5 linked regions of the Rattus norvegicus genome follow. The protein of the gene in region 1 purifies or fractionates together with the protein of each later gene. This does not show direct contact. Links are inferred from orthologs where the notes say so. Each region holds a gene or a part of one and is shown in the gene's direction. Other genes may lie near its edges. The genes, in order: Ebna1bp2, Nop2, Ncl, Nop56 and Rpl11.

Evidence for each region.
Region 2: the proteins of Ebna1bp2 (region 1) and Nop2 fractionate together in Homo sapiens (co-fractionation; 3 studies listed by BioGRID and IntAct, with this or other methods). This does not show direct contact. The link is inferred for Rattus norvegicus from reciprocal best matches to the Homo sapiens genes EBNA1BP2 and NOP2.
Region 3: the proteins of Ebna1bp2 (region 1) and Ncl purify together in Homo sapiens (affinity purification with mass spectrometry; 3 studies listed by BioGRID and IntAct, with this or other methods). This does not show direct contact. The link is inferred for Rattus norvegicus from reciprocal best matches to the Homo sapiens genes EBNA1BP2 and NCL.
Region 4: the proteins of Ebna1bp2 (region 1) and Nop56 purify together in Homo sapiens (affinity purification with mass spectrometry; 4 studies listed by BioGRID and IntAct, with this or other methods). This does not show direct contact. The link is inferred for Rattus norvegicus from reciprocal best matches to the Homo sapiens genes EBNA1BP2 and NOP56.
Region 5: the proteins of Ebna1bp2 (region 1) and Rpl11 purify together in Homo sapiens (affinity purification with mass spectrometry; 3 studies listed by BioGRID and IntAct, with this or other methods). This does not show direct contact. The link is inferred for Rattus norvegicus from reciprocal best matches to the Homo sapiens genes EBNA1BP2 and RPL11.

What each region holds. Positions count from the first base shown.
Region 1 is NC_086023.1:137,432,072-137,436,335, forward strand, and holds the start of Ebna1bp2 (probable rRNA-processing protein EBP2), read left to right. Parts: upstream 1-1,462; 5' UTR 1,463-1,536; coding exon 1,537-1,602; intron 1,603-1,677; coding exon 1,678-1,761; intron 1,762-1,956; coding exon 1,957-2,129; intron 2,130-2,667; coding exon 2,668-2,791; intron 2,792-3,678; coding exon 3,679-3,768; intron 3,769-4,013; coding exon 4,014-4,089; intron 4,090-4,264. Other genes in the region: Cfap57 (cilia- and flagella-associated protein 57), read right to left, coding at 794-950. UniProt on the Homo sapiens protein: Required for the processing of the 27S pre-rRNA.
Region 2 is NC_086022.1:159,617,516-159,621,770, forward strand, and holds the start of Nop2 (probable 28S rRNA (cytosine(4447)-C(5))-methyltransferase), read left to right. Parts: upstream 1-1,450; 5' UTR 1,451-1,558; intron 1,559-1,768; 5' UTR 1,769-1,773; coding exon 1,774-1,879; intron 1,880-2,683; coding exon 2,684-2,729; intron 2,730-2,877; coding exon 2,878-2,966; intron 2,967-3,566; coding exon 3,567-3,745; intron 3,746-4,255. UniProt on the Homo sapiens protein: S-adenosyl-L-methionine-dependent methyltransferase that specifically methylates the C(5) position of cytosine 4447 in 28S rRNA. Required for efficient rRNA processing and 60S ribosomal subunit biogenesis.
Region 3 is NC_086027.1:94,453,281-94,457,287, reverse strand, and holds the start of Ncl (nucleolin), read left to right. Parts: upstream 1-1,204; 5' UTR 1,205-1,330; coding exon 1,331-1,348; intron 1,349-2,284; coding exon 2,285-2,401; intron 2,402-3,594; coding exon 3,595-4,007. UniProt on the Homo sapiens protein: Nucleolin is the major nucleolar protein of growing eukaryotic cells. It is found associated with intranucleolar chromatin and pre-ribosomal particles. It induces chromatin decondensation by binding to histone H1.
Region 4 is NC_086021.1:137,928,675-137,932,981, forward strand, and holds the start of Nop56 (nucleolar protein 56), read left to right. Parts: upstream 1-1,504; 5' UTR 1,505-1,560; coding exon 1,561-1,563; intron 1,564-1,722; coding exon 1,723-1,812; intron 1,813-2,120; coding exon 2,121-2,235; intron 2,236-2,396; exon of another isoform or gene 2,397-2,465; intron 2,466-2,574; coding exon 2,575-2,736; intron 2,737-2,883; coding exon 2,884-3,082; intron 3,083-3,193; exon of another isoform or gene 3,194-3,325; intron 3,326-3,393; coding exon 3,394-3,581; intron 3,582-3,664; coding exon 3,665-3,816; intron 3,817-3,986; coding exon 3,987-4,087; intron 4,088-4,149; exon of another isoform or gene 4,150-4,235; intron 4,236-4,307. UniProt on the Homo sapiens protein: Involved in the early to middle stages of 60S ribosomal subunit biogenesis. Required for the biogenesis of box C/D snoRNAs such U3, U8 and U14 snoRNAs. Part of the small subunit (SSU) processome, first precursor of the small eukaryotic ribosomal subunit.
Region 5 is NC_086023.1:153,558,002-153,562,167, reverse strand, and holds the start of Rpl11 (large ribosomal subunit protein uL5), read left to right. Parts: upstream 1-1,365; 5' UTR 1,366-1,707; coding exon of another isoform or gene 1,708-1,734; coding exon 1,735-1,858; intron 1,859-2,804; coding exon 2,805-2,911; intron 2,912-3,110; coding exon 3,111-3,242; intron 3,243-4,142; coding exon 4,143-4,166.

The sequences.
Region 1 (4,264 bases):
CAAGATAGGCTGGTGTGGGTGTGGGGATGGGTTGAGCGGAATGAAGAAGCTCTGAAACTGGCTGATCCTGGGTGTCTGGGGGCACAGGTCTTTATGTAATAGTAACTCATTAAGGATTACATATATGTAGTGTGGTCTATTACATATGCATATGAAGCAATAAAAATGGTCAATGCAAAAAAAGTGGGGAAATATGAATATCAATGCCCAGACTAATGTAAACAGAAAACAGGAGGTAGGTTCTAAGGGAGGTTATTTGTCACTTAAGATAAAATTTCCAGTGTCTCCATCATACGAGGGTTTGATGAAGGTCATGAACTCTCGAAACTATTAGACTCAAAAGAGGTTTCTGGTGAGGACAAACCCGACTGCAGGAGAATGCAAGAAAAACCACTGTTTAAAATAACTCTTCTTTGTCACTGTGAAAAAGTACTTTTTTTTTTCTTCTTTTTTTCGGAGCTGAGGACCGAACCCAGGGCCTTAGGCTTGCTAGGCAAGTGCTCTACCACTGACCTAAATCCCCAACCCGAAAAAGTACTTTTAAAATGAGTGTTATTTTATGTGTCATTCTGGCTACTTGAGTTGGGTTAATCTAAGATTAAACAGTGTAAATCGACATTTATTTTGTCTGCATTTATAAAACTATGTGGATAACCCAGTTATTAAAAAAAAAAAAAAAGATCTTCCCAATCGTTGAGATTGTGCGGTTCTGTGCAGCACATGCCTTTAAATGTATGTGTCAGGATGGGAAGGGTGGGTTTTTTTTCTTTTCTTTTCTTTTCTTTTTTTTTACCTGCAATGAATTTTTGCCATTTCTGATCTAGATTGTACTTCACACAGTGATTTCCTGAAGGAAATATAACGATCTGTTCATCGAAGAAGAAGATGTTGTTGGTCACGTGAGACCGAAGACCAAAAACATGAAGCGACTGAGCTACCACGGTGGACATGGTACCTGTCAAAGAGTATTGTAAAAGATTAAAAAAAGAGGGGCTGGAGAGATGGCCCAGCCGTTAAAGGCTAGGCTCACAACCAAATATATAAAAAAAGAGGCAGGCGGGTGGGAGTAAAGACATAAGAGTGTATCTCCCTGCCCCACCCATGGCCCCGCCCCACCCTGGGCCCGCCCCACCCTGACCCCGCCTCGCCCCTCCATCGCCCCGCCCCCAGGCTCCTCTTCCTCTTCAGCCCACTCCCGGGGCTCTTTCCAAGCTTTGCCTTCCTCCCATGCACTCCCAACGCCTCCAGGCCTTTAGGTGGACCCCAGAGAAACTATTCACCTCTTGCTTCACGACTCTGGATTACTATACAACGTAGCGACCCGCAGGTGTTCTTCCTAAAGAGCCGGAGCAATCCGGGCACGCCCAAACGCCAGAGCAGTTCCTATAGCAACGAGAAAACCGGAAGTTTGGCTCTGCACCCGGAAGCGGAAGTACTTGTTGAAAAGCCAGAGGCTAGTGGAGAAGTTGCTGGCGCTGGTGCGTCTTGCTGGCACGTGGAGTGGCAGCCGAACCTCGCGGGGCGGGAAGCCGCGAGATGGACACCCCTCCGCTCTCAGACTCGGACTCCGGGTCGGATGAGTGCCTGGCCTCAGATCAAGAGGTAGACGCTAGCGGGGTAGGGGGTGGAACGGGAACTTTATTTAGCTCTTCGGTACTGAGGCGTCCCGGTCTATAGTTGCAGGATGCGTTTTCCCGCGGACTCCTAAAGCCAGGCCTCAATGTCGTGCTAGAGAAGCCGAAGAAGGCGGTGAATGACGAGGTGAGCTCGTGCGAGGGTCGGGGTCCTTGGAACGGGATGTGCACAGGCGCTGTGCTTCTTGGGAGACCGATTCTTGTGGGACAGATGTACCCCTGCGCAGCGGGCGTCATCCTTGCGGGTATTTGAGCATAGGACTTTGGGTTTGAGGGAGACAGAGTCGCGGTTCTCATGAGTGCCGTGTCTGACTTTATCTAGAATGGCCTGAAGCAGTGCTTGGCTGAATTCAAACGGGATCTGGAGTGGGTTGAAAGGCTCGATGTGACCCTGGGTCCTGTGCCTGAAGCCAGTGAAACTCAGTCAACACCCCAGAACAAGGACCAGAAGAAAGGTGTTAATCCAGAAGACGACTTCCAGAGGGAAATGAGTTTGTACGTTTGTTGTGGGTCCTTCTACAGAGTTACAGAAGGAGGATCTTAGTGTGTCTGCAACCTCAGGGGCACTGGGGAGTTAGCATGAGCCAAGAGAGTGGAGCTAGGGGGGTTCCTCTGGTTGAAAGAATAGATTCTTGGTCACCATTTAACCAGCACCCTGCTTGAGGGATGTTTCAAAAATAATTCATTTGAAGTCTGGGTGCCTCCAATCGTCAGAATAGACCTTTGCCTAGGGAGTGCTTGAGTGGTCTTTCTGTAACGATTGGGAAACAGTTCATAGTTTGCTCAATATTTTTTAATAAGCTCGTTTTAAACCTTCTTATTCTTGGAAGTATTTTCCCTTTCTAAATAAACATAAAGTGAAATTTCAGTTATATACGAAATTAGTGGAGTTTTAGTTGACTCGTTTGTTTTATCTTGCCAGTGAAGGTGGGATGCGACAGCTCTGAGGTTAGTTAACTTCTGAGAGGCAGTAAGAAGAAGCGAATGCCTCTTCCCTCCCCTCCCCTCATTTCACTCTGTCCTGTAATTTCAGCTACCGCCAGGCCCAGGCTGCTGTGCTTGCAGTATTACCCCGACTCCACCAGCTCCAAGTCCCTACGAAGAGGCCCACTGATTATTTTGCAGAAATGGCCAAGTCTGATCAACAGATGCAAAAGGTAAGTTTTTCCTCTGGAAAGCGGAGGTTTCTCCTGAAGTCTATTCGTTCCAGCTGGCTCATTTCCTGTAGTCTTTCAAAAAGGAAACAAAGATTTATACTATTTGTAACTAGTATTTCTATAGTCTCTGCTTCAGAGGCATGGCAGTCACTTAGATAAATTAGGGAGAGACGGTCTGGAAGAAGTGTGGTCCTTGCAATAAGAAGGCTTGTGTATTTCCTCTCTGGCAGGGTGAGTGGAATGGTACAGACACAGTAGTCTTATAGTTCTGGGTCCAGCAATGCCAAGAATACTATTGCTTCTAGACCGATTTTTCTTCTCTGGGCCTTTAGCTTTCTAGAACTGAAGGCTTGATATCTAGCTAAGATATGGTATGATTTAGAGTTAGGGGGATTTGATCTTCATTCAACTTTGGGAGAAAAAAACTCAATGTCCCACCCAGGATGTATTTAAATTGTACCATTGGTCTCAGTCTTCATCTTAGAGAATTACAGGTCGTACCCCAAGAAGCTGCCCGTGTGAGACGAGCACAGATCGTCTCTCTCTCACAGTCACACTGATAACAAACACTGTCAGTACAGTGTGTGTGTGATTGAAGAGGCAAGGTGTGAGTGTGCAGGAACTTTATTACATAGGTGGGCCATTAGAGGAGAAGGCTCAAGTTTAGCCTTAGTCTTTGGGGAAACAGGTCCTGTGTGACAAGCAGGCAGCTTTGTGACGGAACATGCCTGTCTGGAGAGGCAGGGCCGCTTCTCAGCAGTGGCTGCCCACTGACACTCAGCTTTAGGACTGTATTGTCCTTAATGTGGAAGCTTTCAGAGCTAGTAAAACTTGGAGCCCCCTTCTAGTGTGCTCCAGATAGTGCCTAACAACATCCCGTGCTTTAGATTCGACAGAAGCTGCAGACTAAACAGGCTGCCATGGAGAAATCTGAAAAGGCCAAGCAACTTCGAGCGCTTAGGAAATACGGAAAGAAGGTGAGAAAGGGCACCTGTGTGGAATGGCACCGCCGGGCACGCCAGGGCTGATCGTGGTGGGGTTTGGTTCTGGCCCTGTGCATGTTTGATCCTGATAAAGTGTCTGCTGGTGTCCCCAAACACAGGTTCACTTGGCACTGTGGCACACCTGGGTGTATCCAACATAGTGTGGTAGCGGCGGCTGAGCTGGCAGTGTCTGGAGTCACGGTTTGGGATGCAGGACTAACCATGTATCTGTCTCACAGGTGCAAACTGAGGTCCTTCAGAAGAGGCAGCAGGAGAAAGCGCATATGATGAATGCCATCAAGAAGTACCAGAAAGGTCAGCGTGTCTGTCTGCTAAGAATGTAGGGAAACCTGCGTATCAGTGCCTTAGAAGCGAAGGGATTCTCTAGTTCTTTGGAGTTATCTTGGCTTTCATCTGCTAGGCTTATGTTTGGGAAATGTTGTGGGGAACAAGATGTGCTCCTTCAGATGCAGTTAGGGAATAGCAGGCA
Region 2 (4,255 bases), on another chromosome or scaffold:
GGCTGGCTGCCTTCTGGACCCTGGCTTCTCCCCACCGTGCGCCTGTTACAAACTGTTGTGGGTTCTGCCAGGCTTGAAGAAAATGATCTGAATTTCTTCCTCTTTTTGGTTTTATTTTGTTGGTTTACTTTGTGTTTTCTCCTTTTGGGGGGTATTCAGAGTGGGCCGGGCCCCTGGGTGAGACACAGCTACCTCTGTTGGCACCTTTTTAATACCAGGAACCCAGCGGCTCCAGCCACTGAGCAGCTAAAATAAAGTTGGAAAAAAAAAAAAAAGAAAAAGAACCAAAAGCATAAAAAACCACAGCAAATTTCTTGATGAGAACTGAAAATAAAAGTTTCCTTGTATTTTAGTGATCTGGTTCTATGTGGGTGAGTGTGGGTTCCAGATACCCCAGGAACTGGTTTAATCCCTGAAGACTGCAGCCTGTGTGCCTGTGCTTCTGCCGGGATGACAGTCTGTGGAGAAAAAGGCTTCTGGGCCATCCCTTCATAGGCTCTGATCTCCCTTGCAAATTGTCTCCAGAGCCCTCCTGCATGAAGTAGTCACTTGCCTGGCAGAGTTGTTAAGACATTGGGCAAGCAATCTATCATGGAAACATTTTCTACACACACAGACATACATATACATACATAAATATTTCATTTTATTTTTTGAGACCAGGGTCTAAATACAGCCTGTCCCTGCCTCCCAAGTGTGGGAATTAAGGATGTGTTACCATACCCTCATCTTTCTCAGTGATTCACCTTCCCTTAGTTTATTGTTACTGGTTTTTTGGGACAGGGTTTTTTGAGTAGTTCTGGGTCCAGGAATTCCAGGCTGCCTTCAAAACTCGTGATCCCACCTGCCTTTACTCCCAGAGGGCTAGGATTAGAGTGAACTACTACTCACTTATATAGTTTGTATATAGTATTACGTTTACTACTGTGCACATGGAGGTCAAAGAGCAGCTTGTAGGAGTTTGTTCCCGACACCCACCATATGTGTGGATTCTGTATTCAAAACTCAGTTCGTCAGGCTTGGCAAGCGCGTTTATCCGCCAAACCATCTCTCGAGCTTGTAAGGTTTTTAACTCTAATACTGCTTTGAAGGAAGGACGAGTACGTTTTGCTAAGTGAAAAGGGCTGGAGGGAGGATTACCTCTAAGGAAAGCAGCTCTAATCTTTGGGAACAGGAGGGCGGAGGCGTGGGATCCCGCGATCTTGAGGTCTAAGGCAATTAGGGTGCCAGGGGGCAAGCTCTAGGTGGAGGGAGCGTGCGGCCTTAGGAGTAACAAGCAGGAACCCGCGGGCAGGAGCCAACTCCCGAACTGAGGGCAGAGAAAGCACGAGCGCGTAGCGGGGCGTTTACCTCTGTGAACCGCGGAAGGTGCGTGTTCCTGGATCAGGTCCGTTCCGGTGCTGCGGCAGGAAGAGGCGGGGCGTCGTCCGGAAGCTTTGCGCGTAGTTCACTTTCGCGGTGTGCTGCCTCTGAACTCTTCCCCAAGTGCACGTGGAGCGGGCCTTGGCTGGAGGCACTGGGTCTGCCGGAACCAGTCCTAGGCAAGCCGAGCCTTCAGGTGCGTCCGCAGGATTGAGGAGCAGGGTTTCGACCTGAGCTTCTCGAGAGGGGCGTGGTGACGAGGTCCTGTGGGAGAGCCTGGAGGACATCGGCGTTCCGAGCACTGGTCCTGGGCCAGGCGGTGCTTCGTCCCAGATAATATCCCTAAGCCTGCGTTCCCTTTTCAGCATCCCCCAACGTCGCCTTCCCTCATTTTTCTTTGCTCTAGTTATCATGGGGCGCAAGTTGGATCCTACGAAGAAGGAGAAGCGTGGGCCCGGCCGAAAGGCTCGAAAGCAGAAGGGTGCAGAGACCGAACTGATCAGATTTTTGCCTGCAGGTGAGAGTCGTAGCTCCCTGATCCCGCCCAGCCTTTGCTCCATTTTGTGTTATAACTTCTCGTTTGCGTGTCCGCTTTTACCTGTTGCATAGATGTGAGTTGTTAGGAAATAAATCGCCCGTGTTAAAGAAGGTAGCATTGGGAGTTCGTGTTCTATTTGAATGGAAGGTGCAATATATAGACATTGGCAAGCCACAGGCTCATGAAAGAGATCCTTAACTCTGTGGACACATGGTCTCACTTCATCGAATTTTAGAGTCGTGGGAGAGAGGCTCTGTTAGGTCAGGTGTCTTACACATACTAAGTGAAGAAGGATTTGTTTCTGTAATTTCTCTTAAAAAATAACAAAGTTAAGTTCTACTTTATTTAGTTGATAAATGAATAAGCTGAGACTAAGAGGAGGGCAGAAAGGGGGGTTTGAGGTTACATTGTTATCAGATGACCCTGCTTGAATTTGGTTGCTGACCAATCTGATGACTGCTTCATCTCTTCTACATCTTTTGGTCTTTTTTAATTTTCTGGAAGTGATGGGGATAGGATGGGCTTTCCTCATACTCAGCGCAGGTTGTATATTGGCCTTTCCTTAACATCTCGATGTAACTCCTAGTTCAGTGTTACAGAGTGACTCCCAGAGTCTATAACCTTATGGCTTTCCCGGTGCTGTGGGTGTACTAGGGGGCTTACACATACCTAATGCTATCACTGCCACACTTTAGTTAATGTGGTAATCTCTTCCTGATCACATTCCTGCCCCAGTTTGTTTCCTATCACTTCCTAATCTGCTCCTTTTTAACAATAAAACAGCTGGTGATGAGAATTTCAAGAGGCTGTCCAGTCGTGCTCGGAAGAGGTGAGTGGATGCCCAGGTGTAATGAGGATTGGAGTTGCTTGACCCATGGGTGAAGAGGGCTGGTCGTGCATTGTCTTGTTTCCTTGTGGTGGGAGGTGGCAGAACCCACCCTTGTGTTCCCTTGTCTTCACTTTCTGTCTTCTTTCAGGGCGGCCAAGAGGAGGTCAGGGTCTGTTGAAGTCCCTAAGCCAAATAAGTCTCCTGGGATCAAAACATTGCCTGGAGAGTTACCCAAAGGTTAGTGAACATGGGAGTTGGCTGCTCTGTGAAGAATCGACTGGCTCTTGGAAAGGGCTAATTGTTTCTACAATGGAAGGAATAGCAAAGATCTCTTTTTTAGACCTCTTCTTGTTTGTTTGAGATGCTGAGGTAGTTTAGTGGTTAAGAGACAGGTTTCTCTGTGTAGCCCTGGGTATCCTTGAAGTTACTTTGTAGACCAGGCTGACCTTAACTCACAGAGATCCAACTGTCTCTGCCTCATTTATTTTATGTGCATGAATGAGTGTCTTGCCTGCGTGTATGAATGTGTGCCATGTGGCTGCCTGGTTCCAGTGGAAGTCAAAAGAAGGCACCAGGTCCCCTGGAAGTAGAATCCGTACCATGCGAGTGCCAGGATGACGGCTCCTAGCCTGGGTCTTCTCTCCAGCCCTGTCTTTACTGTTACTCGTTTGTGTCTGCATGTGTCTGCGTGCTCATGAGTGGAATGCTGAATGCACTCGGGGATGGAGATGGGTCCCTATGAGCTGTCAGATGTGGTCTAGAAAGTTGAGGCTCGGGGGGTGTGAGGCAGGTGTGTTTGCTGTCCACTCAGGGTCTGGCACACCCTACCGTTTTTAGGAGCAGTCCAGGTTCGAGGTAAGAAGCGTCCAGCACCAATTCAAAACAGTGATGGGGATGAGGAGGAAGACTCTGAGGAAGAAGATGTGGTGACCCAGGGGGAACTTTGGGGCTCTGAAGACAGTAGTGAAGATATGGTGGACGACTATGGAGCGGACTCGGAGGATGAGGAGGAAAAGGTGAGTCACTTCTGGGTATTCTCAAGTAGATCTTTCTGTTTATTTGAGCTATTGTCCTACTGTGTAACCCTGGCTGTCCTTGAACTCAGAGCTCCTCTTGCCTCTGCCTCCTGAGTGCTGGGACTAAGGGTATATGCCACCACACCCAGCTTGTTTGTTCTTTTGAGACAACGTATCACTGTGTAGCCCTGGTTGGCCCAAACTCTCAACTGTGTAGCCCACAGGCCTCTTAATTTACAACTGTCATACTTTAGCCTCCTGAGTGTTGGGATTACAGGTGTTTGTTACCATGCCTGACTGAATCTTAGCCTTTTAGTCCCCAGACTGGCCTAGAATGTGTACTCCTCCTGCCTAGGCCTCTCAAGTGATGGCACCAGGGTGTGTGCTACCATGTCTAACTTGCTTTTTAGCTTTCCAAACTGTAGGCTCCTTGAGAGACAAGGACAGTCTGAGTGGAGTAAAGGGTTCTGATGATCCATCTCAGCCCTCCCAACTTTGAAAAGCACTGTC
Region 3 (4,007 bases), on another chromosome or scaffold:
ACCTATCTCAAAAACTCCAATCAAGGGGTTGGGGATTTAGCTCAGCGGTAGAGCGCTTGCCTAGCAAGCGCAAGGCCCTGGGTTCGATCCCCAGCTCCGAAAAAAGAACCAAAAAACAAAAAAACAAAAAAACAAAAAACTCCAATCAAATCTTCTAGATTGGGCCGGGCGTGACGACGCGGGTCGAGGCTAGCCTGGTCTACACAGTGTGCTCTAGGACGGCCAGAGCAAATAGTGAGGCCCTATCTCAACCCCCACCAGCACCTCCACAGGTAATTTTTAATCGATATTGTCAGCTGATGAGGGCACCCGTTTGCTACGCTTGGAACCAGTTAGTGGCAATCCGTTTAAAGCAATCCAAGACAACTCTCTCGTCCTCTGCCACGGAGGGAACTCGTGAGCGGTCCCAGGCAGGCCGAGTACTTCTCCCACCACACACCAGGAAGTCACCTCTCTGAACCTGGAGTTATACCTACCGCGTGAGGTCAGAGATTAAATGGACTGTTTGTGCACTGCTCACACACACACACACACACACGCGCGCGCGCGCGCGAAATTGCTTTTATTAGGAGCTCTCAGGAAAGTGGTGGCTCGCATCAGGCTACCACAGCCAAGAGGACCGCCACCTCTACCGAGGGCAGGCCAAGGCCCACTAAACGGCCCGAATGAACTCTAGGCCTTCCGGCGCTCTCCAGCTCTTCAGCGCGGCGAACGTTCTAGGCCCCTGAGAAGTCCACCGGGAGGCGCAGGTTTCCGCTACGCAAGGGAAATCCCCGAGAAATGCCCAGACCACCTAAGCACAGACGTCCATGCGGCGTACGGATACCTGAGGGAATCCGGGCCATACCGCCACCTACTCGCGCCTCACTCAAGCCGCGCCAAACTCGCGCGTTTCACTGCGCAGGCGTGTAGCGAGCGGGCGCTCAGGAACACTCAAAGGACCAGCACACTGACCAATCAACGTCCGCCTTGGCCAAAACTAGTCCCGCCCTCAAAAGCAGACGTCAGGCCCTGCCCCTAAGAGCCCCGCCCTCCCCCACGCTTTAGGCCCGACCCACGCCGTCCTGGGTTAAGGCTCGCGGTTGGTTCGGGGGACGGACGCGAGCTCTGGTTGGTGGAGGTGAGGTCACGAGAACACCTTCGTCGCCTTTCCAGAGGCGATTACTGGGCAAGCTCAGTCTTTTGCCTCAGACGCTAGCTGTAGCTGGCAGGCGGTTGTACGTGCTCCAGAGTCTTCATTACCCGCCGATCCAGTCGTCTTCGCGTGGGTTCCGCTAAGCTCTTCTGAGCTGCTCGCTCTCTACACACGCCGTCGCCGTAATCCGCCATCATGGTGAAACTCGCAAAGGTAATAGGCCTGACGCGCGAACACGGACGACTAGGCCTGCTTTCTGAGAGACGCGCGCGCGCCCGTCGCGGAGGGGAGGAGGGCCTGCGCACAGTCCCGGGCGCGTTCGAGGGCGCCATGCTGAGGGAAGTCTCGCGCGACTAGCGGGAGGTCTCGCGGTGTTTGGCCTCTGACTTGAGGGATGAGAGGAGCCGAGGCAGGTTCTGGGAGGGCGATGTAGAGTGCACCGGGGCCGGGGGTCGGTGTGAGGGGAAGTCGGAGGAGTTGAGCGCGGAGAGGGGGTTGGAGGCTCGGCGAGTGAAGTGGGCCAACCTTAAGCGGCTAGCGCTCTCGGCCCCGCCTCCCGGCGCACGTGCTCCGGTGCGCGGCCCGCCACGTGGGTTACGGCGCTCCGCACGTGTCGCGCGTCCGAGGCAGTGAGGGGAGTGGGAGTACACCGGGAAAGGGGACAGTAGAGTTGGCCTAGTTACCTAGCGATCCGCAGTCCCTGACCGTGACGGGTAGATGGACACGTGGTGGGCTCCTGAGGTAGCGCGTGGTGACCGGCTAGGTGACTCCACGTGGTTTGGCTGTAAGCGTGAGAAAGTAGGAAGTAGCTCCGATACAGAGATGCTTTTAAGAGGTGCCTTCGAGATAACCCCCTTCCCCGGCAAATAGTTAAAATGGAACCTTTAACTGGGTTTTTTTCTTTTTTGTGGAACGTGCCAGAAAATAAAGTGCCACGACTAAGTAGACTTTAAAAACCTGTGGCTGTTTCCTGGTGAAGGTTTCTGTCTGTAAGACAAATTATGCGCAGTTCTCAGAAAAATTTGCCAGGAAGAGTGTCGTGCCTGGCCACGAGAAGTCTTTATGCTTGTGTTCTTTAGTAAGAAAGGAGGTGGTGGCCGAGGACAAAGTGGCTTACAATGCGGGTGATTTTTTTGTGTGCATTTGTAGGCCGGCAAAACCCACGGAGAGTCCAAGAAAATGGCTCCTCCTCCAAAGGAGGTGGAAGAAGATAGTGAGGATGAAGAAATGTCAGAAGATGAAGATGACAGCAGTGGAGAAGAGGAGGTAGGATGCTATTTGAAAAATTGTGTGATTTGCAGTGGTAGATTGACTGGAAGTGTCAGAAATAACAGTCAGTTCGGGGGGGTGTCTGGGCAGAGTTTCGTATGTTGTATTGAGTAGAGTTTACTGTAGATTTGTGGGGTGGTTTTCCCTCCGTTTTTGGGAAAATTGCTTATTCTAGCCTAATTTTTATTCAGTCCATGGTCACTTGGCTTTGTGAATTTTGGCAGGACATTATGACAGGAAGCTGTAGACCAGCCTAACCTCAGATAGGTTCTCCTGAATTAGGTGTTAGCCACAGTATCCAGACAAATGACAAGTTTAGTGAGAAACCCAGACTTTGATCTAGGTAGAGATGGAATCAGGGTCTCAGCTTAGGTGGTACCATGTGAGTTTTTTGGGGTTACCCCCCCTTCTATATATTAAGGGACTAAGCTGGACACTTTAGAGGAGAGGGTAGCCTTTTTAGATTCTTGTTCTCTAAGCAAAATTTATTATTCCCCGTATTCTTTATCTCACATGGTTTGTTTTTGCAATACTGGTCCCTATCACTGAGCTTCAGCTTATTTGAATCTTAATTCCAATCATTGTTCAAAATACATTGTATGGGTAGAAAGCTGCTAATAACCCATTTGCTAGATATGACATTCCCAAGTTTCATTTAAAGACAATCTAGCACACAGGAGACAGAAATAGGAGTACATAGTGAAACCTTATCTCAGGACAGTTTTTATGGTCATGCTCAATCAAATTTCTTAGAAAAGCTCAGGTGCTGAGTTAAGAGTCCAGTTTTTTAAGCATTGAAGGCCATGTATCCTTATTTAAGGGTTTAATGTTTATCTTTATGTGTGTGAGTGCATTAAGCATGCTTGGTCCCCTCATGCTAGAATAGAATGTACTTGGATATCCTGAAACTGGTATTACAGCTACATGTGGATGTTAAACTTGTTATAAGAGTAACAAGTGGGGCTGGGGATTTATTTAGCTCAGTGGTAGAGCGCTTACCTAGGAAGCGCAAGGCCCTGGGTTCGGTCCCCAGCTCCGGAAAAAAAAAAAAAGAGTAACAAGTGCTCTTAACTTCTGAGCCATCTCTCCAGTTCTTTACTTTTTAGAAACATATCTAATGTCTATCTTGTGTTAGTAACTTAACATAGCATTGGATATAGAGGAATGCTTATGATTTGTTTGCTTTCAAGGTTGTCATCCCTCAGAAGAAAGGCAAAAAGGCTACCACAACTCCAGCAAAGAAGGTGGTTGTTTCACAAACAAAAAAGGCTGCAGTTCCCACACCAGCTAAGAAAGCAGCTGTTACCCCAGGCAAAAAGGCAGCAGCCACACCAGCCAAGAAAGCTGTTACACCAGCCAAAGTAGTTCCAACACCTGGTAAAAAGGGAGCTGCACAAGCAAAAGCATTGGTACCAACTCCTGGTAAAAAGGGAGCTGTCACTCCAGCCAAGGGGGCTAAGAATGGTAAGAATGCCAAGAAGGAAGACAGCGATGAGGATGAAGATGAAGAGGATGAAGATGACAGCGATGAGGATGAAGATGAAGAGGATGAATTTGAGCCACCGGTAGTAAAAGGAGTGAAACCAGCAAAAGCAGCTCCTGC
Region 4 (4,307 bases), on another chromosome or scaffold:
TGTAAACAATACTGAGATTATTATGATTTAATCAGTAATGCTTAATATAGATTTATAAGTGCAATAAAATGAACTATGTGCTTCCAATTTTTTGCTGTTGAAACACTTTACTCAGAGGGCTGGGGAAAACCTGGAGAAATCCTGTCTGCTGTCCTGCATGGGGCAGACCTTGGAGATCTCCCAATCTCTCTGTGCTTCAATATTTAAAATGTTTATGTGTATGAGCATTTTGCCTACATGTATGTGTGTGTACCACATATATGGCTGGTACCCGTGAAGGCCAAAAGAAAGCAACAGATCCCCAGGAACTGGAGTTACAGGTAGATGTGAGATGCTATGTAGGTGCTGAGAAGTGGACCTCGGACCTCTGGAAGAGTCATCAGTACTCTTGACCACTGAGCCATCTCTCTACCCGACGAATGAATTCAGTAAATTCACTGAGTTGAGAAAACAAATCAGATACAACTTATAAATGTGCCTTATGGTTATAAGAATTTTCAAAATCCCTTTAGGAGTTGCAGTAGAGTTCAGCTGGTGGAGGCCCTGCCTTGAATTCGCTAACAGATACACAGGACTGGTAGAGGTTCAAAGAGCATACACGTAGTCAGCTACAGAGCCGCCAGAAGGTGGGGGGGAGGGGTAAGGAAGGGAGGAAAGGGAAGAGGGAAAAAGGAAGAGTGAGGAGGTGAGGAAGGATGAAGGAAAGGAAGAGGGGAATGGAAAGAAAATGAGGAGGGAAGGGAGGTAGAGGAGAATCCCCTTAGCATTATTATTTTCTTTAAGGCACAGACTAAGAGGCAATCAAGTTTGGGACTTAAAATGCTAAAACTAAAGTTATGTGGGTTTTTTTTCCTCTTTAAAGCAAGAGTAATTTTAAATTAGATACCTTGGTGTGCCAACAAATGACATTGTTAAACAAGAAAGCAGCTTCTTGGAAGGATTCAGGGCCCACTCAGCCATGAGCACCACGTGGTGCCGAGCAGAGCTCGGTTCTATGAAGCAGGGCAAGGAAGAGAACTAGCAAGAGGTAAACCGCCATTATCTACGCCACTGCCCGCACCAACACTTTTTTGAACAACAAAATTTAAGAGGAAGACGCAGGCAGCAAGGAGCCGCCATTTCTGCAGCGTCGGGGACCGGGTCCCAGGCGGAAGGCGAGGACCAGGACTGTCTGGGCAGCGGGAAACCGACAAAGTTCATCAGGGAGCCTTTCGTTCCCTCACCGAGTTCCGCCTCCCGGCACATGGGTAAAAAAGCACGAAAAACGGAGAAGAATGATCTCCAGGCTCTGCGGCCTGCCGGTAAGACCGGCGCCATTCATTCCCGACACAGTCTCAGCTCGCTCAGGCTCAGAGGCCCAGATGGGCAGGCCCGCTCGCGCCCGCGTAATCCAACCCGCCCGACGGACGATACCACACCCGCAAATCCCTCCGAAGACCTAGTAATGGTTCCGTCCCCAGCCTCTGATTGGTCCAACAGGAGAAGGCGTGGCCTCCGCAGTCTGGTTCCGCGCGCCAGAGCGCGCTACCCGCATTGCGAGCTGGGCACGGAGCAGGCGCCATGGTGAGGAGTGGTTGTGGGTTATTTGCGTTGTGAAGGCCTCAGTGTGCGTCTGGGTTTGCATTCAGGTTTGGGCTCGGAGTTTGGGCCAGGGCCTGCTCTAGCAGCGGCCCAGCGGACTCGGAAGTTTGACTAATGGCCGCGCGCCGGTTCCCTTTTCAGGTTCTGCTGCACGTGCTCTTCGAGCATGCGGTCGGCTACGCGCTGTTAGCGCTGAAGGAAGTAGAGGAGATCAGCTTGCTGTTGCCGCAGGTGAGTGGAATCGGTGGGCTCGTGGTGCTGCAATGCAGCCCCTAAGGCCGCCAAACCCCAGCATGCACCGCGTGTTCCCACGTGGCCGACCGCACCGAACGGGGAGGGGGGCAGAGCTGTAGAACGAGGGGACTCTAAGGCTAATCTATATAATAGGAGAGGTTGTAGATCAACATCTCATACTCTCATTTCTTAAGAATTAGAGTCCGGATGCGGGCCTAGGCACCAATTGCTACAACAGCTGGTGTTCCTGCTTTACTGCGCGGTAGAGGCCAAATTCAAAGAAAGCCCATTCATCCTCTCCACAGGTGGAGGAGTGTGTGCTTAACCTTGGCAAATTCCACAATGTCGTTCGTCTGGTGGCCTTTTGCCCCTTTTCTTCATCCCAGGTTGCCTTGGAAAATGCTAATGCTGTGTCTGAAGGTGAGCTCCCCCCCCCCCCCAGGGATGCGTGTTTCTGAATGGCTGATGATTTTCTTCTAAGCTTGATAGATTCTAGGCATTATTTGAGACCTACAAGATGGCAGTTTAAAACAGTTAAATGCTTCACAATTGTGCTCCCGGACCTGTGGTTGAGTCAGGCTTTGCAATGATGACTTGAAAAATCTGTCAATCCCCTGAGTGATCGATGATGACTCCATGTTTCTGAGCAATGCCTGAAGGGATGGGTGTTCCTGTATGGTCGGAGTGGAGGCACAGTCCTTCCTCTGTTACAGTTGGGACATTCTTCGTCGCGTTAAGAGCTGTGTTCTTTGTTCCAAGGTGTTGTTCATGAGGACCTCCGCCTGCTCCTGGAGACATACCTGCCATCTAAAAAGAAGAAAGTACTTCTGGGGGTCGGAGACCCCAAGATCGGTGCTGCTATACAGGAAGAGTTGGGGTACAACTGCCAGACTGGTGGTGTGATAGCTGAGATCCTTCGAGGTAAGAGTCCTGTTCAGTGTGTTGCCTCTACCATGTGGATGAAGTACCACAGAGGCCAGGAGAGGGGCTGCTGGTTTCTAGTAAGCAGCTATGAGTGGTTATGTGGGTTCTAAAAGGTCCTTAACCATAGTCCTGCCTTCTTTTTAGGGGTTCGTCTGCATTTCCATAACCTGGTGAAGGGTCTGACAGATCTTTCTGCTTGTAAAGCCCAGCTAGGGCTGGGACACAGCTATTCTCGTGCCAAAGTTAAGTTTAATGTGAACCGGGTGGACAACATGATCATTCAGTCTATAAGCCTTCTGGACCAACTGGATAAAGATATCAATACCTTCTCCATGCGTGTCAGGTAAGGTGCAGAAGCCACCAAACACTGGTTTTCTTCGGCCTAGTTTAGCTAATGCAAACTTAAGGTCAAGCAAGGCTGATAATTTGTGGGTAGAATCATGGACCAAAGCCAGGCCTCCTTGTGCTTACCACAGGCTGTGTTCCTACACTGACTGTATAGAAAGAGGAGGCAGAATAAACTACCCTGTGTACACCTCAGCCTAGGCCACCATGCCTGGTCTGTATTGTGAATGGGTAGACAGTGATTTGAGGGAGCCTGGGACCTGAGATCAGGTTTGACAGCTGGGTCAAGGTGTGATTGTCCCTCTGCAGGGAGTGGTATGGGTACCACTTTCCAGAGCTGGTGAAGATTATCAACGACAATGCTACATACTGTCGCCTGGCTCAGTTCATCGGGAACCGCAGGGAGCTAAATGAAGAAAAGTTAGAGAAGCTGGAAGAAATTACAATGGATGGAGCCAAGGCTAAGGCCATTCTGGATGCCTCTCGGTCCTCCATGGGTCAGTGCGGAGCGAGGCAGCCCGTATAAGGTACGAGGCTCCTTGAGTATCTGGTCCCCCTGTTCACACTAGGTGTTTCCTAGGCATGGACATATCTGCTATCGACTTGATAAACATCGAGAGCTTCTCCAGTCGTGTGGTGTCTTTGTCAGAGTATCGCCAGAGCCTACACAATTACCTTCGCTCCAAGATGAGCCAAGTAGCCCCCAGCCTGTCAGCCTTAATTGGGGAAGCGGTGCGTCATGGGGAACACAAAAGTGGGGGAGTAAAACATAGCATTCTGTACCGCTATACTTGTGGCTAGCATGCTGTCCCTAGTTGTTGCATGGTGGGGAGGAGGAGAGGGGAAAGAGTGGTAGGTCAGGTTTCTGTCCACTCACCTGCCCTCCTTGGGTCTCTCTCCAGGTAGGTGCACGTCTCATTGCCCATGCTGGCAGCCTCACCAACCTGGCCAAGTACCCAGCATCCACAGTGCAGATCCTTGGGGCTGAAAAGGCCCTGTTCAGGTACCAGTGAGGGCGCCTGCCCATGTCAGGTGCTGCTTCTGGTGTCCACTGCTTTGTTTGGGGATTACAGTGATGGCTGACCAGGACTACCTGACCTATAGAGGCCTCTACTATGGGAGTGATGGCCAGTCCTAGTGTCTGAGTGATTCCCAGGGCCCAGCAAAAAGGGACCAAGTTTCCAGGTCAGCAAATTGAATGCCTTCCCTCTCTGTCTCTGGGA
Region 5 (4,166 bases), about 16 Mb from region 1:
TGCTAGCAAGCGCTCTACCACTGAGCTAAATCCCCAACCCCCTGAAGTACCTATTTTACACAAGGGGAAAGAAAACAGACTGAAATCATTTAAATTAGTAACTAGTAAGTTGAATTAAAACCACACCTGCCTGTATTCACAGCTCAGGACTCTATTTTCAAATTTTATTTAGCATTTATTAGTTTATCTATATGAAAAATTTTCCCCCCGCACATGTGTTCTTGCAAGTGTGTGTCTGGCGTCCTCGGGAGGAAGGCAAGGGCATCAGACTGTAACAGCTGATTTAAGCCACTACGCTGATTAGTATAACTTCTATGTTAACATTGTTACAAAATAAATGCCCTAGAATCTGTACAGTTTATCCTTTTACTTATGTAAACGAGTGTTCTATCTGCATGTACACCTGCATACTAGAAGAGGGCATCAGTTTAGTTGATTGTGAGCCACCATGAGGTTGCTGGGATTTGAACTCAGGACCTGTGGAAGAGCTGTCAATGCTCTTAACTACTGCACCATCTCTCCAGCCTCAGCTTATTTTGAAAATTTTGCTTATTTTTTTTTATTTATATGGGTGTTTTGCCTGCCTGCCTGCATAACCTGGTGCCTGTAGATGCCAGAAGAGGGATCTGTCTCCCTGGAACTGGAGTTACAGCCAGTTTTTTTTTTTTCTCCTTCGGAGCTGGGGATCGAACCTAGATGCCTTGCGCTTGCTAGGCAAGCGCTCTACCACTGAGCTAAATCCCCAACCCCAGCCAGTTTTGAAATACAGCGTACATGCTGGGAACTTTGCAAACCAAGGTCCACTTAAAGTACGGCTATGACTCTGTTCTTGAAGTGATGGACTCAAGAACATACCAGTCTACCTGGTTTTCAAAAGACCTGGTCTTTAGCCCGAGATGACTGCAGTTCCGAGGACGATCCACTAGAGGAGGCAGCGCCAAGACAACCGTGCCTCTCTTTCCCACTCTCACCTCGTTTGTCAGCCTAGGAGAAAAATCCCGCCTCCTGACCCATAAGGCCACGGGGCCGGAAGTCCCACTCTCTCTTCCTGTTCTCCACCATGGCGGTGAGTAGAGCAAGAGTTGCTTTTGCCTCTCTTTCATCCATCTCCATCCGCGGCCGGCGGAGCCCACGAGGGCTGTTTCGCCGGTGGCTGGAGGAGGACGGAGCCCGCGATGCTGGTGGCATTAAGACCGGCAGGGCTGTGCGGGCGCAGGGCTCGCCCGTCACGTCGCCGCCCATCGTAGGAATGGGGCTCAGGTCAGCGGCCCCGAGGGCCCAGACGCGGGGTCTGGGGGCTTCCGGGAGCGCGAGCGGAATGTGCCGAGCTCTCTGTCGGGTCCCAGCCCAGGGGACTTGAAGCTTGTTTGGTGCTGGGGAGCATCTGCGGGTCCCTACTCAGGACTGGTGCTCGCTTGCAGACAGCTTGGGAAGGAGGAGGGCAGGTCGCGTAGGCCGATGTTTCCTGTAGTTTGTCATTTTAAGGTTACATTGTATTCTCTCCTGTCTGATTGGCTTTCTATAAGCTCTTGTGTCTATTACCCAGAAACATCGACCGCCTTAGCATTCAGGCTTACTCAGTGCTCCTCCGCCCCAAACACTGAGACCTTTTTAGTCCTTAGTCCATAGGATTCGGGACCGTAGAGATCAGACTGGAGAAGACATTGGCTTCTCGACTTTGACGGCTGCGTTTACTCTTTTCTGCAGCAAGATCAGGGTGAAAAGGAGAACCCCATGCGGGAACTTCGTATCCGCAAGCTCTGCCTCAATATCTGCGTGGGGGAGAGTGGAGACAGACTGACCCGAGCAGCCAAGGTGTTGGAGCAGCTCACAGGCCAGACCCCTGTGTTTTCCAAAGGTGAGTGGTGATGGGCTAGCCAGAGAGGCGTGGATGGAAGGCCTCAGTCCATCTAGCCGGAACAGGAGTGCGAATAGGGAGCTAGAGTAGACGTGTAGTATTCCGCCTGGTTGACAGGTAAGAACAGGGTTAATACATTACACTGCTGGGGTGAGAGACTATCCGTTCTTATTCTTAATATTCATGTTCGTATCTGAGTACTCTGTTTGCTTGACAGAAGAGGGCGTGAGATGTTGTTATAGATGGTTGTGAACCACCATGTGGGTGCTGCTGGGATTTGAACTCAGGACCTCTTTAAACCACTGAGCCACCTCTCCAGCCCCCTATCAGTGCTTCTTAACTTTAGGCTCTACCTCAGCTTCCTTAAAATGAATTCTGATTCCCTTGTGTGGCCACATGGGAGGTGTTAATGTGCTTGAAACATGGGGTCTGTTGGGAGTGTGGTTATAGGTGGTCTGTTGTTGGGATTGGATACCCTTTCTTAGTACCACCGGTGAGCCTGGGCTAGTTAGCCTCAGGACATCTGGACAGTCGGCCTTTTGAAAATACTAGCTTTTACCAATGTCAACCTCCCAGCTTGTCCCTTCCACACCCCATTCTGGATTTTGAATGCAGGTTCCTGTATGATAGAGCATAATGTTAAGCTAGGCCTGGTAGCCTATGATTGTAACTCCTGTACCCGGACTGAAACAGGAAGATTGCTCCCAGGTCAAGGCCAGCCTGGGCTACATTTGACATTCTCAAGGAGTATTAACGGTGCTAACCTTTGTCTCTGACTTGCCTAATGTCATGAACTCTGGGGATTGTAATGTTCTTAGCTGAAGTGCGGCTGGGGACATTAGAGCTGGAAAGCTCTGTTCTGTGTTGGTGGGTGAGGTTGATTAACACGTTAGATGCCGGGCAGTGGGAGTAAAATGTTACCTACCTCTCTGTTCCCTTCTTGCAGCTAGATACACCGTCAGGTCCTTTGGCATCCGGAGAAATGAGAAAATCGCTGTTCACTGCACTGTCCGTGGAGCCAAGGCAGAGGAGATTCTGGAGAAAGGCCTGAAGGTGAGGTGGGCTGGCCTGGAAGTGGGGAACATTTGATGGATGATGAGAGATGATTTGGTTTAAGGGAAGGGTTGCCTGTTCTCCTGGCTGGGATGCACAGAGTTTTGGTTTTGCTCCGGACCTTCTGGGTGTTGGTCTGAGCTCATACTATGCTCTTTAAACACAAGGAATAACCTGGTTGCTCTTTATGTCTCCTCAGGTGCGAGAGTACGAATTACGGAAGAATAACTTCTCAGATACCGGCAACTTTGGCTTTGGGATTCAGGAACACATTGACCTAGGCATCAAATATGACCCAAGCATTGGCATCTATGGCCTGGATTTCTATGTGGTATGTGGAATGTGGACTTCTTGATCCCAAGCTGCCTGTGGGGAGAGGGCCTGCTGCTCCTCTGTCTGTTGTCCGCACATGCTGTCTTGCTGTTGGGATGTAGTGCTGGGTTGAAGTCTGTGTCTTGTCTGCCTGTGTGTCCCCCTTGAGAGAAGGGCCTTGTTCTAGCAAGTGTACAGGTTCAACCACACAGGGTTGACAGGTCTCTGCTGTGCAAAGCTCTCTGGGAGAAACCTGTGCTGCCTTTGTCCCTGGCATTGGCTACCCTGTCTCCACTCATCCCTAGTCTCTGGCACACGTGAGTTCTGTGGGGAAGACATGGAAACAGACTGTGCTCAAGTGGGGTTTTCATGTGGAAATGACTCTGTTACCACAGTGCTTCTGTGAGAGCAAAGAGCCAGACGTAAAAGTGAGACCTGAGGGGGAGGTCGGTTAGGGCGGCAGAGCTCTGGGCAGCTTCTGAACCAAGGGGGTGAGTGTGCCTTTGTGCCTTTGGGTGCTTTACATTTCTTCACATTACACATGTTGAAGGTTTTTGTTGTGAGGCAGGGTCTTTGGTTTACAGCCCAGGCTGGCCTTGAACTCCCTGCATGTTAGTATTACATGTGTGTCTGGTGCCTAGAGGCCAGAACAGGTCAAGGGAATCAGATCCCTCTTGAGACTGACGTTACAAGGCTGGAGACCAGTTGGGGAAGGAGCCTGCAGGGCATGTGTGTTCAGAGCTTGGTGTGTTGTCCGGGTAGCTAACGACACTTCCGTCCAACAGAGGTACTGGTCTTGCTTCAGAATCTGTTAAGTTTCTGGATGACTTGAAGATCGGTCTCTAATGTGTGAGTCTTGTCTGTCCACTGGTGACCCGGCCCTAGGCTGGCTAGATGACTGTTGGTTATTCTGGCACAGGTGCTGGGTAGGCCAGGTTTCAGC